Linked DNA regions of Drosophila melanogaster. The protein of the gene in region 2 interacts with the protein of the main gene of each other region in a pairwise test. Each region holds a gene or a part of one and is shown on either strand. Other genes may lie near its edges.

Evidence for each region. Proteins that work in one complex are often made in the same cells at the same time.
Region 1: the proteins of Prosbeta5R1 (region 2) and lectin-30A interact in a two-hybrid assay, tested with the Drosophila melanogaster proteins (one large-scale study listed by BioGRID).
Region 3: the proteins of Prosbeta5R1 (region 2) and CG15459 interact in a two-hybrid assay, tested with the Drosophila melanogaster proteins (one large-scale study listed by BioGRID).

Annotation. Positions count from the first base shown.
Region 1 is NT_033779.5:9,253,512-9,259,049, reverse strand, and holds lectin-30A (lectin-30A), read left to right. Parts: upstream 1-4,195; 5' UTR 4,196-4,218; coding exon 4,219-4,890; 3' UTR 4,891-4,974; downstream 4,975-5,538.
Region 2 is NT_033778.4:23,306,337-23,314,528, reverse strand, and holds Prosbeta5R1 (proteasome beta5 subunit-related 1), read left to right. Parts: upstream 1-4,712; 5' UTR 4,713-4,800; coding exon 4,801-4,950; intron 4,951-5,006; coding exon 5,007-5,804; 3' UTR 5,805-5,875; downstream 5,876-8,192. Other genes in the region: HP1Lcsd (heterochromatin protein 1L chromoshadow domain), read left to right, coding at 1,231-1,482.
Region 3 is NC_004354.4:20,411,777-20,417,961, forward strand, and holds CG15459 (uncharacterized protein), read right to left. Parts: upstream 1,806-6,185; 5' UTR 1,722-1,805; coding exon 1,665-1,721; intron 1,496-1,664; coding exon 644-1,495; 3' UTR 565-643; downstream 1-564. Other genes in the region: CG15458 (uncharacterized protein), read right to left, coding at 2,058-2,186, 2,249-2,311; Obp19a (Odorant-binding protein 19a), read left to right, coding at 3,993-4,061, 4,122-4,289, 4,365-4,568; Obp19b (Odorant-binding protein 19b), read left to right, coding at 4,969-5,152, 5,218-5,440, 5,811-5,895.

The DNA.
Region 1 (5,538 bases), on a different chromosome or scaffold from region 2:
AATTTTGAAGCATTAAGTTCTATCAGATAAAAATCCATTTAAAATTAAATAGAAATAGAAAAAAATGTATTGTTTTTATTTAATGCTTGGCTATTTGCAAATTCCATTTCAATGAATTTCCCCAAGCAGGACGAGCTGCATAAAAAATGCCATTATTATTCATTCATTACACCAAACCAACCAAAATGAATACGTCGCATTCGTGTTTAATTTTTTTCACTCATTTAATGAATTATTAAATGCAACATGCATAATTCCCGTTTCCGCGCTTAAGCGTGGACAATGCGAAATGGAAAAGCCCACGTCAAAGCCCCTACCTAAAGGACCTCGTCGGGAAATCCTTCGAATGGCACGTAGGCAAATATCCCTCTCCCCACACGCGTCCCATTCCCATGCATTGGAATGCAAATATTTTCCACTATAATTGAGGCGCGACAAATGCGAATTGTTAGCGAATGTGATTGCGTTGCCTTAGTCGATTTTCGATGGGTCGTTGGAGGAGGAGTTCCCTCAAAAGAGGTAAAACAACACGTATTTAATGCACATGCAATTCAATCATTCAATTTAGCATGCCAACAAGAATGATGTGTTCAATTTAACCAAACACCAACGAGGACATGGAGTTTAATCAAAATGGTTTTTAAATTGATAAAAGTAAAAAAAACGACCCATAATTGCAGTGGTTCTTCAAAAAATTAATGCATGCACGTAAAACAATTACAGCGCAGTAAATTGCAACTGCAGACAGCAGCAGCAGCGAAATCGAACAATTGTCGCACATTAACCACAGATGCGTTTGGATCGTCAGGGATGGGCAGGAATTATAAGTGGGTGGTATGGGTGGTGTCGACTAAGTGATTGCATTCAGTGGGCCACGGATGAATGCAAATTTCGGTTCACTTGTTTCACATCGATAAGGAAATTTTCTGGTTAATATATCCTCCTTCTTCTGCATCATAATCCTATTATTCGTTAAGTAAGATCGTGCATTTAATGTGTGCGAAAGAAAAGCCATTAACGTTGACCATTAAACGTTATATATTTTCCTCATCAGTAATATGACCAACTTTTGTGTGTTAACACAAACATCCCGGATGTTTGGTTAAATGGCCCATCACAAAGTTTGAATATTCCATTCTCTTAATAGAGAACTTTTTTTAATGGAGTCATTACGTCCACTTTGCTAGAAGCTTCTTTTCTGAACTATACGAGTAGCATTACTATCATTACTAGCATGACATAATTTCGAAAAATCCCATTACTTTACCAAATTATAAAATTGCTCACGACATTCGATGACCATAGCATTTCTGTGAAATTTATCGCATTAATAACTACGATGAAAGGGACTCTCATTCCAGATACTTAAAACCACTCAAGTGGAAAACAGCCACAAAAAATATCTTGTACAAGTTGATATAAAAGTGTTTATGGCGTAGGTCAATGATGAGATTAAATTCTGAATATAAAATGAGAATAATGTTATTATTTTTGTGTAATCGCATTTTACGTTTTTACGTTATTTTAAAGTACACTATAGAATATTGGATGATTATTAAATATTCATGATTTCATCAAGTTTTCTTTATATTACAAAACATTTGGACCAAAAACTTTTGCAGATTATTATTCGCACCAGTTATCATTTTTAAAAGCATATTCACAGAAAATATGTAACCCCTTTAATGATCAGAAGCTTAAAGGTCACGATCTAGTCTGACATTTTCACACCAACATTGCCAAAACATTCACCAGCCCGAGGCACTTTTCCCGGAATTTTCTTGTTAGCTTCAAGCTTTGCCTTTTATTGCCAGCAATTCTATTGTCTTTTATGTCAACTCACCAGACACAAGAGTTGATGAATTTTGTCGCTTCGCAGGATGGGCGACTTTAGAAGGCACTCTCGCACAGACACAGGCACACTCACACTCACGCAGCAATCGAGCCTGAATGTGTTTGTTGTTGTTGTGTTGTATTGATGTACGTATTGGTGTGTTTATTTCGATGCGCGCCAAAAAGTATGCAATGCGAACTGTGAGTCTTGTGTTGCGGGTCTGCGTTTCGGTTTCCGACTGACGATGGCCTGATGGCTGGTGGCTTGATGTCTGATGGCTGGTAATGTGATTAGTTGGCCCGTCTATCGATGCTAGTGCGCTACTGTGTGCGAGTATATTTTAATTTAATTATGTCGCTCTCGTTTCAATTACGAAAACCGCTCGCAGCGAAGACACGCACTAATAAACAAAGGCCAGCAATAACAGAATAACGAAAAAGTAAGCGACGGCTGGTATCGCTGCCGAGGGAAAACTGAAGGAAAATGTGTCGAATGAGTGGTACCAAGACCAAGACCAACCAGCGAATGTGTTCTGCCTCTCCCTCTCCGCTCTCGCTTTCTCACTCTTTGTCCGGCTATTAGCTGCTCTCTGGCTTTTCCGCTGATGAAAGTGCTGGCAATCGAATGCAACTGCCTCCCACAAGCGACTGAATGCGTTGCATATGCCAAGGCGCACGTTGAGTCCACGAGGAACGTGTGAAAGTGGAACGCGCCAGACTGGAGTAAATTTTGAGTGAGTACAAAGTGCACTTTCGAGTGCCCGGGAACGAGTGGAATTGTGCAACACCTGTGCAAAGGGGATTGTAAATGGGGTGGCCAGCACTATTCTTTCTTTATCGCCGGAAAAACGGGCAGTCGAAATTTTAATTGGGTTTGTCCAACTTACGGCACACAATTCAATTGAACCGCTCCCCCACTCGGGGCTCATTAACCTGGAGGGTTGGAACTATATCGGTGGGACATAAACTCGTTACGATTGCCTTGGTTTTTCGTAGGGTAGTTGCTGTTCTAGAACTTCCCTAGGGTTCATTTTTTTACGCACATGTTGTTTCATTTTCTCCGCTTTTTATGAGTTTCTAAGCTAACATCAATAAACTAAAACGTAGTGGTGGTATTCCAATTTCAATACGTGCTAGCTGTTCTAATTAAAAACGTAAAAATGCTGAAAAGTCAAAGCAACTTTAATATTATAAAGCATGAAGGTAAAATATCAATATAAATTATAGTAATACGGCTGCAATGGGGCTTATAAGGTATATTGGATAGCAATCAATACAATGGTGGATCAATGCATGGGAGCTTCCATTAATGCCGTATCAGAGTTCAACATAATTATAATTTGTGTCCCTCGTGGCACGTTTACATTAGCAGGGCATCTGGGCACCATCAACAGCTGACACAGAAACACTTTTACTGGCTGCACTTTGTAAAATGGATCTCTCGGCGGCATTACCTGAAAGCGCTCCCAAAAGATGCCATTCTCGGTCCGTCTACTGTCATCCGGCATGGAGATGATGACGCAGCTTAAGGGCGGCTGTACACCACCAGCTCCACAGTCAACCTCACCCCGCAATCCCGGCCAGATTTCCCCTGACAATGACTGGCACTCGTTCACGGACTCCGGGGCTGACTTCTCCGCCGCCAGCAGGTGTTTCCATTAACATCGGGACAATAAAGGCAGCGCACGCACTGCAATATGCAACAGTTGCAGACACGCAGGAAAAGCGTTGGAAATGGGAAATATGGCTGGCTGTGGGTGGTAGGTGGTGGGTGTTGGGTGCTTAAACGCACATTTGTAAGTAGTTGTGTAATCTATCCATGAACGTCGCTTCCGCTTTGCATTTTATATGCTCAACGCATCGTTTGGCCGGCGCAAATTGAGTTTCGTTGTCGTTGCTGCTGCTGAAATATCTGCTCTCGGATGGATAGATGGATGGATGGATAGATAGATGTCTGGATGAATGCCTCGGATATATCCCTTTTCCCCACAGCCATCGATTGGTAATGACGTTTGGTAGAGCCCACCCACCTTTAGGTTCATCCACTTTGTGGCTTAAGGCAAGAACGAGCATCAAGCCAATTAAAACTTCTAGCCCATCAACTTAATTAAGAAAAGGCCGAAATTATGCGACTATCATAAAAGTGCGGTGAACGTACGGTATCAAGAAAGATTTTCCTAATTGGTAAGCCATAAATTGTATTAATAAATTTTATTAGTTATACACCTGCTTAGAACGAATAACCTATGTATTTGCCAGACGTTGTAAACCGTTTTCAACGCTTTAATATGCTTTTAGATGCGGATTGTTATTTCATTATACAGATGTTAACATCCAGAAACAGTCCGTTTTAAGGATTGGGACTAGCAGGTCATACATAGTAACATGTTCAAGTATTGTTTTATATGCGTCATTCTAGCCTGGGCTTCTCGTGATGTTCTCGCTAACAAAACGGAAAATCCGCTGCTAATTGATCAAGTGGCTATAAATCAACAACAATGGTTCACATTCATTGCGCTGAAGGAAAGTGAAATGCAACAGAAAATAGTGAGGATCGAAAGATCGATAGAAGAACGATTGATGGCCATGCAAAGCAAGTTGGCATACGCACTGAACGAGCTGCAGACCATAATGGGCAACCAGAGTGTGGAGACTCTCGAGAAACTACGAATCTCGCACAGGATTAATCCGGCGCTTTTCCAGAGAATGGGCACAAGACGCTTCTACATTGAGAAGGAAAACAAACAAAATTGGTTTGGCGCCTCAAACACCTGTCGTCAATTGGGCGGTCACATTGCCACCATCAGGGATGAGCAGGAGTTTAATGAGATCTTCTCAAGAGCGCCGGCCGGCGTCTTTTGGATAGATATGAATGCTATGTTCAAGAACGGCCTTTTTGCATCATCACTCACCGGCAGATCGCCGCCGTTCTTTAAGTGGAAGAAAGAAGAAAGGGGCAATAAGTTCGATTGCGTTAATGTATACAACAAGGAAATGTACAATGAAAATTGTTTCAACACCCATTTGTTCATATGTCAAGCCGAGCAGTGGGATTGATGCGAATGCGAAAATAATAAATTAAGTTATTTTCATTTTGCATCTCGGCAATTTACCGACAGCTTTTAATAAAGTTATGAGCCTACTGTCTTTTTTATTTTACTAGCCCAAAAATGAAGTACATAACTGTTTTCTCAGCCAAGAGGATCATTAAGATTATTGGGTAATGAAAATTAAAATATTTTCCCTTAAGTACAAAACCAGGCCAATCCATATGGGGTTTCCATCAAGTGCCCAGAAAGCGGTGCTTGGTATTTCAAAATGCCTTACACACATGACGTGTCCACGTTCTGTGCAGAAATAAGGGCGGCCAGTGCCACGCCCCTCCACAAGGAAGCCACCCAAATGGTGACAAAAATGCTTTTGATTTGTGGGCCATTCGCACACCCATAGCCACCCACGCTTATTAGAATCCTGCCATTGTGGCAGCCAAAGTGCAACTAGCAGAGACAGATAGCAAACATCCAACAATGTGGAGCAGAGCGCAATTTATGACCAGGGGCGAGATTTCGAAACGGACTAATAGGATTGCGGCTCCAATTTTTGGGGCTTTTCATTTCAGATACCTCCGCACATACGATGCAAAATTATATCTCGAGTTTTCACTTACGTTATTATACGCTCTAGTGTGCAAGTCTTTAGTTTTTC
Region 2 (8,192 bases):
CGCCCACTTTTCCCCACTTTCGCCCACAATTGCAGTGGCCGCACCTTTGTGGGTCAAGTGAGCAGCCAAGTTCTTGCAGCTGTCGGCAGCACAATTAAAAATGTGCAAACTTGCATTATTAAAATAAAGAATTTCATTTCATTCCGTCCGACACTTTTCCAACCCCTTTCCCCCCCCCCCCCCCTCTACCAAAAACGAAACAAACAAAAAAAAAAGGGAAAATCGCGGAGAATGGCTTTAATCAAATGCCAATACATTTTCGTTTTTCACAATTTGATTAATGCGTCCGGCAGTCAAAAACGTGCCCTAGTTGCAGCCTAAATGTTGCACAGCCTTTGGCAAATAGGCAACAACAAATATTAATTAAATTGAGCATGCAAAGTCAATTAATTGCCACGCTTTTGGTTAATTAAAGTCATTGAAATATTTACATACATATGTATGTGCGGTAACATCGACCTATCGGCTGGCATACACGATTCAATTAATTAAAATGTTTTGCAAACGCTTCCTACCTTTTTCCAGGATAATTGGCCTCAGGTGCGACAGTTGGTAATTAAAGGGAAGAGCAAAAAGTTGGCAGCGGCAGAAAAAAATGCTTAACTATGTAATTGCAAATATCGATAACACATGCCATGCCAATTTAGCGTCTTGCAACACTGCCAGTGAAAAAGTTGCAATTCACCAAACATCTTAATCTTTCCAGGCGAATTTTTCCATTAAACGGGTGAGTTTCCTTATAATCAGCGATGCATGTATTGCCACTAAAATCAAGCGATGCAGCGCAATTAAATCGCATAGCAGTGCGCATAAATTGAGGAAATTGTCATTGCCTCGATAATCAGAGGAGAATCACCCGAAGTGGAATCTCTTTCAGTTCTTTGACAGTATCGTCCATCGAATGCGGCAAGAAGCCGTGGCCCAAAACTCAGAAGCGTGGCATTCACATGAGCAGCTCTCCCTGGTCATTGCCACTTTTCTCTGTTGCCGCCACGGAGTTGCGATGGACGCGTGCCTGTTTGTTGGTCAACAACAATCAAAGTGCATTTGCATTGTTTGGCGGCGTGAAAGAAAAAAGTTTGTGCCGACGATGCACCGGCACATTCCATGTGACTCAAAGTCAACGACCCAGTGTTGCAAGAGTTTTGCATTCAACCTAAAGTGTTGAATTTAGGTGCTTTCCCGGTATAGAAAACTTATAAGTAATACTGTTTTATTTTCTTTTAGATAATGGACCGCACGCCATTTGTCCGGGGTAGGATGGTAGAAAAAATAGTTTACGTTTTTACGACAGCGAATAAAAATACGATGTTTCTGATAAAGTTCAAGGACTCGCCCGTGGTGGAAGTGGTTCCAGGTATCGAGGCCAACAGACGCATTCCCCAAATGGTGATCGAATTCTACATGGACCACCTATCCTTGCCCCCGCCCGAATCCCGGAAAGGCAATCCAAGAAAGAGAAAAGCCAGCGAGGATGGATGATTTATAATTAAATTCAATTATGCAGCAAACGAAACACGTTGTTTTTGGTTGCCTATCGTCTGGGCGGAGTTTTCTTTTCGCACCTTACCGCTCGAATCGATCATGAAAATTTACGACGCTGTTGGCCATAAAAGCCAAGCAGGGAAAACTAATTAGGCAGATATCAAATTCGGATTAATGGCTCTCAAAGAACCATAAAATCCTGGAGCGCAACAATTAGGATGCGTATCTCCGGATATGTGAGAGTTGGCAATTGGCTTGGAATGCCGGCAAATATGTTGTGTCAACCATAAAAGCCAACTTGAATGCTTTCGGCACTCTGGCCATGAAAACCAATGCAAAGTCGTTAGTCGTTAAAACCTACAAGAAGTTCTGCCCCTCAAGATGTCGATTCCTGGCGAGATGATGAAAAAGTTTGAGCGGTTGGCCGGGGAGTTTGTTTTATGGCCGCACTTCGGGAATTACTTTCCATTTATAAAATTTTAATCTGGCCCATAAATAAGCATTGCAATTGGACTTCGTGTACTTTTTGCCCGACTAATGGACTGTTCTCAGGCCAAAGTTTTTAATTTAATGCATCATCGTAAAATCCCGCACTTTGTTTGGCGTACAAATATTGTATTGTAGTTTGCCCCACTGGTTTGTATCTGACTTTGATGTCGGCGGATCAATGTGGATCAACTTTTTCATAAGCAGCACACGTAGACAAATTTAATGTAAATTGAATGGAAATTAGAAAAGCGTGTTTTATTGTATATGCTTCAGGTGAATACTTAACCTGAAGGTCATCGAAAAGAGATTTGAGTGGAAACTAGCTTAATGATAGCTACTATTGATTTTTTGATGTGCATTATTTTGGAAAAGTCTGGGCCGCAAGTGAATACGACGGCCTAATCCATTTGGCGGGCCTTTTTCAATTAAAATAAATTAAACGCAAATGTCAAAACTGCTTTCGGGGAATCCCCCGCCGCCGACCGTCGCTCTGTCACAATTTGGGCAGCTTTGGGGCTTTGACAGGTCCGCGGGACAGATGATGAACTACAAATTGGACGGCGGTGGTTGGGTGGCTCACTGAGATCGGTGGCTTGGTGGGTGGTGGGTATGATGCCCCAGTCATGGGAAAGTTTTGCGTCATTTTGGGAGCAGGCAAGTCTGGTTGGTTGGGCGCCTTAAGCAAGCTTAAAAGTTGCTGGCAACAAAGTTGGTGGGCTGAGTTGGCGAACAATAAGCAGTAAAACAACGGATTTGAAGGATTTTGAAACAATAATGCTAAGCGGCAAAAGTAAATAAAACGAAAGTGAAATAAAATATTCGCCGGCGAAAGTCCCTAAAACGCTTTTTGCTTACGTGCGCCTTAGTTGAATTTTATTTTAACAATTCTCGGCGGAGTTTCGTTTTTGTAATTCGAGAGCTTAAAAAGAAACTCTTTGAAAAGATTCGGGGAATATTCCTAAGCTTGTCAACAAGGTGGTTTATTTTTTATTACTCAGCAAAGTTGCCTAAGTGGATTGAGAGCAAAGTTATTCAATGTTTAGTGTCTATTAAGCAACTCGCTCATCTTGCATAGTTCATCTATTGTATAATAAGGCTCATGTGATTTCAAATTGTAAATAATTAAGAACTATGCACCGAATAAAAGGCTATTATTTTGGCTCTCAACTAAATCCGATGCCACAAAATCGTGCTCTTGGTCCAGCGCTGCAACGATTCGCAGACGGGAAGCTCAAGTTTGGCCTAATCTCTTATTCGCTCTTGACTTGGCGTCATTTTAGTCATTAAAACAGGTTCAGACTGAGTAATCTGCCAGCCACTTCAGGCCAAAAGCGAAGGGAATGGCCAGATTCTTCCACTACGCTGCCTTAGTTAGTTGCCCTCTAATAAACTGGCAGCGGAAATTTTTAACAAGTTGTTGCCAGTGCACAAAACTGGGCTGTAATTAACGCAGGACAGATGCCGCGCAGGGCAGGGAGGGGGAAATGGGGATTCGGGATGCAGGATGATGGTGGCCAGGAGGAGCTGGTGGAGTAGCATCGTCTGGGTTAGACGAGATTTTGCATATCAGATTGCTGCCCCGGCTCCAGTTTGTCCCTGCCCTGTGATTTAATAATCAGAGCTGGCTGTCAAAACTATCCAGCAACTGCAGCGCTGCGAAAGAATTGTCATATTTGTTGATAAGCTGAATACCCTACAGCAATCTAAAGTTTATATAATAAATATATACAAAATATACCGACAAACCTTAAGTATCCAATTGGATACTTAAATAATACTTAATACTAATACTTAGACTTAACATTTAGATAGTCCAGTAAACTATTATGCTTCGTGACCAATAAAATAACAGTGAGTGGTTTCATGTACTCATAGTTAGGGTATGTTTGGATGAAGGGCTTAGCCAGCTCGTTTCTTTTGCCTCGATTTTTCCTTTCCAGCCCGCCTTTCTCCGAATTGCTTCCGCCCCCTTAGTTTTCCATTCGAAGGGCGGGGGGAATGCAGGCTGCAATGGAAAGCGCGTGCAAAAATGAAATGTGCCAATGTGGCGGATGGGAGATGCGGAATGGGGAATGGGAAATGGAATTCGGTGGTTTGGGGAATGCGGAGGCCAAGTCCTCGGCAATTTGCATAAATTTAGATCAGTGACACATGGCGTCCACTAATGGAGGCAGTGGGAGCAGCCGGAGTGACTGCGACTGCCACTGGGATGGGACATATATCACGGGGGGTATCAGGCCAGTCGACCCGCGGACTCAAACAGTTTGGCAAACATTGCCAATTGGCCTTTAATTAGCGGCTAATCCGTTTGCCACCGCCTGCGAGTGGGCGTGGTCACTGCGAAAGCACCTTCTATGCCATTCCCCACTCGTTTTGGTCCCAATTTCGCATCTCGGCAGGTGGCGATGATGACCCTGCCCGGCAGTCCAATTAAAATGTCGTGTATCTCTGCGGTGGCGCCACTGCCACTGCCACTGCCACTGCCCACAGAAGGTCCATTGGATTCCACTTGGGTGGCCGGCGAAAGTGCCGCTGCGACCACTCTCACCCACTAACCATGAAATGCCAATGGAATCGGAGACTGCGAATTGCCGCTGCGGATTGTCCAGTGGAGCGAAACTTTCAAGCGGAATGCGATATTTTGATGGGAACAAGATGTCCAGCTTTCTGATCTTGTGATCTTGTTTTGATTAAAGTACATTTTTGATACACTTGTAAGATGCCTTAGAGACTTAACTCCACAATCATTCGAGCTCGTTTAGTGTGCTCATTTACACATTACACTAAACTATTTATTGGAAATAATAAACTCTTTTTGAACACATAATGGCTCTGGAAGCGATTTGCGGCATGAATAAAATGCCTTTTATGCGGCGCTTCGATGACTTGCAGTCCGAATGGCAGAAGGAGCAGCTTCGCGAGGCAACCAGTAATTTTGAGAATCCCTACGAACTGATGGCGCCTCCCTTCGAAAGAGTTAGTATAGGTTTCATAATCCAAAAGATCCATCTAAGATTGAAACTCTTCTCAAGCCCGCTGAAAATCTGCCCAAGATCCTGTCGCACTGTGGCATTCGCATGGATTTCGATCACGGCACCACCACTCTGGGTTTCAAGTATCGCGGAGGAGTGATTCTGTGTGCTGATTCTAGGGCCACCTCTGGCCAGTATATTGGATCCCAGACGATGAGGAAAATAGTCGAGCTGAACGACTATATGCTGGGCACATTGGCCGGCGGAGCCGCCGATTGCGTCTACTGGGATCGGGTTTTGGCTAAGGAGTGTCGCCTGCACCAGCTGCGCTATCGGAAACGCATGACCGTGGACACGGCTGCCCGGATCATCTGCAACATATCCACGGAGTACAAGGGCATGGGTCTGGTGATGGGCATGATGCTGGCCGGCTTCGACGACGAGGGACCCAAGCTGATTTACGTGGACTCGGAGGGCATGAGATCCCATGGTCAAGTCTTCTCCGTGGGCAGCGGTTCTCCATATGCGCTCGGCGTATTGGACACTGGGTACCGCTATGATCTCTCCGATCAGGAGGCCTATGACCTGGCCAGGCGAGCGATTTACCATGCGACCAGTAAGGATGCCTATTCTGGTGGAATCGTGCGTCTCTACCACATTCATTCGGAGGGCTGGCGAAATATCTGCAATACGGACTGCTCCGATCTCCATGACTCGTATTGCGCATCTGGGTGTCCGGGGAACGAGAAGGATGTAGGAAACGTAGGCGATCCCGACAATGATAAGCCCTGTTCCAGTGGCTGGACGAAGAAGAATATCACAGCAGACAATTTGCAGACTAAGCTGGCAACGGTATGAAAATTTGGAAATTATTGGAGCAACATTAGCAAAAATTTCTGTGGAAGTAAAACTTCTGTCGTGCAAAACGTATAAAGTGTTAGTGTTTATGGTAATGGGAATTTGTGGCAGTGAAGAAGTCCGGAATTTATCGTGAGAATAGTTTTCCGAACCGTATGCTGGATTGTTCTATCTAATCCTCTTCAGTTCTAAAAGCACACATACAGATACATTTCAAAGTTTTAGCCACTAATAATGAAAACAAGAGCTGCATACATACAAATGCCTTTCGCCCCGCACTCGCCACACTTTAAAAGCTGTGCTTCTATCTAATTTTTTTCACTCCTCAAACTCCCCTCTCTTCCATCCTCCACTGCGGAAAATATACGAGCAACTTTCGCTCGCTAAACGAACTTTTCCTATAAATCAAAATAATAACTTCTAAGCTCGCAATGACTTTCCCCAAATGGGCGTGCCGCACACAAAATACGGCCAACGAAATGTTCGCCGAAATGTTGCACTCCGTGTCTTTGGGTTGTCATCAACAAATGTTGCAGATGCCACTGCCTGGAGACTCCGTCCGGGGGATCTGCTCCTCACTGCCCATCCCCTCCCCCTCCCCCGCCGGAAAAGCGCAACCGCAGACATTAGCAGGCGTAGGTCATTCTCTCCCAAACGCCCCACTGGGTGGTGACCCTCATCCTCATCTTTATCCCCATTATCGTCCTCATCCTCATCGGGATCTTCCTCCTCCTCGTTGCACGACTGTTAAGGCGCTCTGAGCATGCGATAAATTTAATAAATTACAAACCAAATCCGCAAATTTGTTGAATTCCAAAAGAAGAGGAAAGAGCACCAAATGACTACACGGAGGAAATACGAATATTAAATATATTATTAAGCAAATATATCAAATGCACAAAATGATGTGCAAGTAGACATAACTCTCAAGAACGGTATTTTTGTAAGATATATAATTTGTGCTATGCACTATAACTTTTCTCTCAGTGCTTAAGGAGTTGGTGGTGGCAGCATTTGCACGGCGTTTTGGGCACATGTGAGTTGCAGAACGTGTGGTGAAACAGCTGGATTGTGGGGGGGCTGGAAGGGAGGCGGAGCAACATCGGGCCAAAAGGCGTTTTGTGGCAAAAAGTTTTACTGTAAATTGCTTTTAATCTAATGAACGTCGCCAGCAGGAGCTGCAAAACTGGGGGGGAATGGAGACAACTTGCCAGCCCCCAAGTCGTCCTCGAGAGTCATTTTTCCTCTGTGGTGTCATTAGAAAATTACTTAAAGCCAAAGCCGTGTGGCCCAAGTTCGGAAAATCCTCATTGCGGGTAAGTGGAGCAAAAGTGGCGGAAAAAATGTTGCAACCCGGGTTAATGGGTCAAAACTATTTTCCGGCAGCACTAGATTTGTGTACTTACTTCCATGGTGGCAAGAAGTGGCCACGCACAAATTTTCCAAACGCGTTGAACAACAAAACGTAGAAGTGTATTAAATTTCTAATATTTTAAAATGCCAAAGGTTTTACTCTTTAAAGAGTGGACTTAAAATTAAAATTTTCAGTTTAACTACCTGGCTGCAATCTCTACTGAAAATCGCTGTGCGAAATATTAGCATACAATAATGAAGTGGTTGTTTTCAAAATAACGCAAACTAATTGATAGTATCGATTTTCCCAAATTAGCTGGTTTCCTTCTCCATTACAAAATTCGCCCCAGCCTTCAGCTAATATGGCATAAAAAGCTTGTCGAAAAAAAAAAACGCAGCAACCATAATTTAAATTAATTTGCAAACAACAAGAGCGGCAGCAACAACAAGCTGCAACACCTGCGATGTTGCTGCTGCGCGTTGTTGCTGCTGCAGTTGTTGCGTTGTTGCTGCTGCTGCTGCCATTCCACTTTTGTCAACGAGCTCAAATTCAATGAAATTTCACACTTTGTCGTTAAAAGCGCGCCGCTTGCAAGAGGTGGAAAGTCCGGAGGGGGGCGTTAACTGTCAGGCATAAGGATGCAAATATGCAAATGGATTTTGCTACGGAGCGGCGTAGGAGGAGCAGGGGGAGGAGGAGGTGCATCCGAAGACGGCGGAGATCGTAAGAGTCTGCCAGAGTGTTTGACAAGCAAGCGTGACTGCTCGCTGGGCGGAGACTGGCGGAGTGGGCAGGGATGTTGCCTGCCGGTGATGATGATGTTGCCCCTGTCACCGGCCGAAGCTGCAGCAGCAACACTTGGCCAACAGCTACACACACACACACATAGATGGCGGCTCGGGAGACAGCGGATGTGGCAGCGATGCCTCGTTTGGCAGTTTCATTAACCGACTGCGGAGGGGCAGCAGGCGATGGGTGGCTACACGACACCAGGCCAACTGCAACTGCAACAAGAACAGCAGCAGCAGAAGCAG
Region 3 (6,185 bases), on a different chromosome or scaffold from region 2:
ACTTGAATCGGAGCAAGACGACGAATCGAGCGAGAGAGAGAGAGAGACGGCAAGCGAGGGAGAATGAGGAGAGAGAGAATGAGAGAGCGAGAGAGAGAGAGAGACGGCGAGAGAGCGAAAGAATCGGTCGATCGCATAATGAAACCAAAAAGCAAAACGTTAAAGTTATTTCCATATTATATTATATATACATATAAATTTAAATATAAATGTTAGTTGAAGTCCACTCATAATTAAACACAAGGCTTAAACGTTAGACGCAACCCAATTGAATCCAATCCAATCCATTCCCATCCATCTCGAGTCCGAACCCCGCCCAAAACAGTTAATAAGCTACGTAATTGATATTGATAACCCCGAGAACACAAAGGGGCTAAAAACGTTTATAATGATGATCTATTTAAAAGTTAGATGCCGCAAAGAAAACTCTATCTGAACTAAACGGAAGCTAAATAAAATACTTTATAAAGCAATTGCCCCCCGTTTAATTTAGTATCTTGCAACGACTGAAAGAAATGGATCCACCCGGGGGCGCCAAGTAATGGATTGTTAAAGCATAATGCTGAGATAAAGAAGTTCTTCGTATTTATTTTAGACTAAAAATTTAGCAGATCTCTTGAAGCCTACGCCCAGACCTAGCCAACTACTTTTCATCGCTGGTAAAGGACAGGCCGGAAGTGAAGCCATCGCTGAACGCGCTGTACTCCGCCTGCTCCTCCGCCTGCGGCTGGTCGTCGGCCTGTTCCCGGCCCAGTTCCTCCGGCTGTCCCGAGGCGTTCTCTTGGCTGCCTGTGGGCACGCAAGAGCGCGGTGCCGTGCGGCGCTTTAACGGCGTCTCATCGTCCTGGCCGTCGTCACGTTCATCCTCGTCCAGCTCATCCCGCGAGACTTCCACTGCGGCTGCCTGAGCTGGGGAATCGGAAGCGGTGCCGCTGGTGTTGACCGCCGCATTGCCCAAAACGGCTCCCACGACTCCTCGCAGCACCCTGTAGAAGGCGTCGTGCACCTGACCCATCACTTGGCTAGCCGGACGCACTTGCTCCGCCTCGGGCTGTTTATACTGTTGGTACTGGTTTGGCGGCTGAATCTGCTGGCCTCGCGCCCAGCTGCTGTGGCTGCTATGCTTCACGGCTCCCTCCGCCCGACGCTGCGGCTCCTCGCAGGGACACTTGCGCCGCGGAGCAGAGCCTGATCCTCCCGATGTGGGCGGAGGTGGTGGCGGCGGCGGATCGTCGCGACAACCATTGTCATCCTCGCCCGCCGCCCGGCGCTGCTGCTCGCGATCGAACTCGGTCATGGCCCGCTCCGATCGCTCCCGGCAAACGGAGCAGTCGGGATCCGCGCCGTAGACGCCAATGTCGCCATTGAGGGACGACTCGTGGTCCGATTCGCAGCTGCACTTGCCGCTGGCCAACTCGCCGGTCTTGCCGGATCCGCGGCGCAGCTTGTACACGATGAACAACAGGGCCAACGTGGCGTATGTGGCCTTTGCCACCTGCGAAATGGGTCATAGTATATGTATTTGTAAAAAATGTATGTAAAAAAATGTTAAATTAATAATTTTGAATTTCAATTTGGAGCTGAAAATAATATTTTGTGTCCATCAACAGCTCCAAAGCGATGGTTCATTTTATCTTGTGTGCGTTCAATAGAATCACTCTTACGTTAGCGCGTCCATTGATGGTTGTCCCATTGAAGTACTTCTTAAAGCCGTCGGCCATTGCTACTGGACTGGATCTGGAGATCTGGAGATCTGGATTTGGGGTCGGGTCCGGGTGAGAGCTGAGTGTGTTCTGCCTATAGCTCCGAGCGAGAACCTAATGACAAGCAGCGAAGTGCAAAGCTCGGCCAACTAGATTACAAAGTCGATTCATTGGCAGGATTCGATTTTTATTGACTCAACGAGGTGGTACATGAGTTTGGTCCCCAAGCCTTTAACTGTGGCATCGAGGACCGGAAAGGGGGTGCTGATTATAAATAGTTATGGATTGCTGACGGGTCGAATGGGTCGGAGCGGTGGGGAGCCATGACTTCAATGATTTGGCAGCATCGGCGCCCTAGCCATGGAGCATGGCCTGCTGGCAGCCCTTGCAGTAGAGCTTGGTCTCGCGCCGCTTCGTGTTGCGGCGGTGCATCTTGACCAGGACGTAGACGAGTCCCAACGAGGCCCAGGTGGCCTTGGCTACCTGTGGGTTTCGGTGGCGTATTTGGGCGCATCTTGTGTACTGCCGTGTACTGAATCACTTACATTGGCGCGACCACGCATGGTCTGGCTGTTGAAGGCTTCGTTGAAGTTGAAATGATCGGACATCTTTGGATCGTTGTTGACCGGATTGGCGTGGCTTTTAACAAAAGATTAAAATTTGGATTCGATATTCGACCTGTATTTTAGACCGGGATTCGGATTGTGACTTTTAAACGTTCGAAATGAAAGGAATGTTACTGACAGTCGTCAAAGCCGACTCGGGTTTCCCAACTAGAGAGAATGCTGAAGTCTAGTACCGACTAATGGGATACCCATTAATTACTGCTTAAATACTGTGATGAAAATTGAGATATGCAAGAGGCAAATCGAAAGTTTTGGACATTTTCATATTGTACCTTTAACCAACTTCAGAATTCATTGAGCTAAATACCATTTACAATTTTATGAAATTTTTAAGCATGTTACAGCTATAACTATTTTTAAACCAGTTACTAGATTCGTTGAAAATTGTATGTCACACAGAACTTCTTGCCATCCTGGTCGGAATTAGGATCACTAGCCAAGCCGATATGGCTATGTCTGTCCGTATGAAAGTCTTGGAATCTGATATTAACATCGCATATCGATCGACCATTATATATCTAATATATCCTCTACAAATGTATTTTATCACCTAGCTAGCATGTAAACATTCTGGCCTATTTAGCTGTACGCTTCAGTTATGCTAATGCAAACATAAGCCTTTTGTGATATTATAATTTACATTTATTATTTATTGCAGTTAGCTTTATCAGCGATTTGGGCTCATGCCACACGCAATACTACTTATTTCAACGTCATCAGTTGTACTAAATGCACAAATGAAATACATTTCGCCAAATAAATGCCAACTTGCAACTAATTTGAATGCTAATCAAACCGAACTACTCATTTGCATACAAGGTAATAGGTGGTTAAAGTGAGTGTAATGGACTTACTTAAGGGGTTACAAGGCTTATATTTAAAATGCCTGCCTTGTAATTAAATTTTTAAATATATTGGAAAAAAATGGCCACTTGTTATGTGAGTCTCCAGAAAAAAAACAAAAAAACAGCAACCATCTGGTATGCAAAATATCTGGTGGTAGCAAAATATCTGGTGGTATCTGGTGGACTATCAAAATATAAAAACTTTTTTTTCCAGATAGTATATCTTAAAATCAGCATCTTGAAGGAGTATATGTAAATAGCAAACTATTTGTAAAAATAGATTTTATTTTATAATTTTTTAAGATATATACCAAACATTATTACCGATTGTGATTATCTTTACATTGTTTGACCTCAAAACGGAAAACTGGATGCGCGGTATCCATGCGACCCTAACTCTGGAACCGATTTTGGAACCGCCCCGTTAGATCTCAGATTGAAACCTTATTTGCATTCGCATGATCGCTGATGAACACTGGGGAAATGCGGCCCAGCAATGGGATTGTCAACGCATCTCGGCCAGAATCGCGCCTCGCATGCCACCTCGCACGGTGACCACATACCTGTGTACACTGTCAATTAACGTGGCAAGATTATAGCCCGGCCAGAAAGTAATCCGCCCCAGGAACACCACCCACCGCCCGCCCATTTGGATATGGAAATGGGCAGTGGGGGCGGCGATTGGCGCTAACCCATAATTCCCACACCCACTTAGCGGTTCGATCGAACCAATATGAAGTCATTTGCATGTCGGGGGCCGTGTATAAAAGGAGTCGCCGATGGGTCTGGAGTCTGGAATCCGCCAAATCGTCTCGGAAATGAAGTTCCATCTGCTGCTGGTCTGCGTCGCCATATCCCTGGGACCAATCCCCCAGTCGGAGGCAGGGGTAGGTCCTTAAGCTCTTCTCTCTGCCGGAGGATGCCTCATGGATACTGTCCACTTGCAGGTGACGGAGGAGCAGATGTGGTCTGCCGGAAAGCTGATGCGCGACGTCTGCCTGCCCAAGTATCCGAAGGTCAGCGTCGAGGTGGCCGACAACATTCGCAACGGTGACATACCCAATAGCAAGGACACCAACTGCTACATCAATTGCATCCTGGAAATGATGCAGGCAGTACGTATTAAGAAGTTTCCATCGGCTGTGTTGGTTACATTATCAGCTCCTTCTTTCCGCTCTGCTCCTGCTTAGATCAAGAAGGGAAAGTTCCAGCTGGAGTCGACCCTCAAGCAGATGGACATCATGCTGCCGGACAGCTACAAGGACGAGTACCGCAAGGGCATCAATCTGTGCAAGGACTCCACCGTCGGCCTGAAGAACGCCCCCAACTGCGATCCCGCCCACGCCCTGCTCAGCTGCCTGAAGAACAACATCAAGGTATTCGTGTTTCCCTAGGCTTTCCATCCGAGGCTGCCAATGCGATACCAGATGCGTCACACTTTGGCATTCGGAACAGGTGACTCCGCAGCAAATAAAGTAGATATGTATATCTCTTGTCCGCAATCCTAAACCCACACCCAAGCCCAATCCCCTGACCAGATGATCAATAAAAGCTAGCCGGAGGGCCCCGTCATCTGTGCTGTATTTTAACTGGGCTGCGATGGATGGACGAATGGGTGGTTGGCTGTGGTTGTGGTGGGGCTTGCATGATCCGCCCCAGCAATGTCATGGCTATCGCCGGTTGATCTACATCCGAGGCGATTTGCTTGTACCGGATGTGCTGGACACGATTGCGGCGGGTATAAATTGCCCGGCGCCGATTGCTGTCCGTCCACTATTCACAAGAAGAGCAAAAATGATGCAGTGCAGCCGAATGACGACGACGTTGAAGATGACGAACCTTCTGCTAGCAGTGGCCTGCGCCGCCGTGCTGATGGGATCGGCGACGGCGGACGAGGAGGAGGGGTCCATGACCGTGGACGAGGTGGTGGAGCTGATCGAGCCCTTTGGCGACGCCTGCACGCCAAAGCCGTCGAGGGGTAAGTGCACCGTTGGGTTACTCACCCATCCTACCATACCATTCCATAACATACCATATCCGCAGAGAACATCGTCGAGATGGTGCTGAACAAGGAGGACGCCAAGCACGAGACCAAGTGCTTCCGCCACTGCATGCTGGAGCAGTTCGAGCTGATGCCCGAGGATCAGTTGCAGTATAACGAGGACAAGACGGTCGATATGATCAACATGATGTTCCCGGATCGCGAGGACGACGGCAGGCGCATCGTCAAGACCTGCAACGAGGAGCTAAAGGCCGAGCAGGACAAGTGAGTGTGGTGGGGCAATGGAGGACCCTAGTGTCTAGTAATTGTTAGTCCAGCGAAGTGTATTCCAGATGCGGAGTGAATTTACTTCAAAGCAAAAACTTGAAACGGTTCTAAGGCGAATTTTTCAGTCTTGCTGCATTTCGAAAATATTCTGCTGTATTCGAAAGAAAAGATAAGTGCCAGGAGTTTAAGTTGCCGTGTGTTTTGAAGAACCTTTTCGTACACTTCTTCTCAGGAAGAGAGTTTCAATATTTTGGAATACCTTTTATAGGTGGCCAGGCAACTGTGCTCCCAAAAGCTTTAAAAATTGTTTGAAATATTTTTAAAGTATTTCTGAAAAGGATCTTATTTGTTTTTGGTTTTTTTTCAGGTGCGAGGCAGCCCACGGGATCGCTATGTGCATGCTGCGCGAGATGCGCTCTTCGGGCTTCAAGATTCCCGAGATCAAGGAATGAGGCCATGGAGCTGCTCGCTGGCCCACCATTGCATGTTCTCCCTCCCTTTTTTTTTTGTTAGTGATTCAGTTCGATTTAATTACCAAAGCTAGAGAACTTGGAGTGGTTTCCCAAACTAATAAAGCGCCCAACCAACAAGTTACGAATTATGCATATTTATCGGGTGGGAATCACATATGTAGTACGTAATCCCGTAGTTGGAACTGCGAAAGATTGTGTTTTTTATTGTGCAAAAATGGGAAATAAATTACTGTATATATAGATTTATTCAAATCAATTGCGAGTGAGCA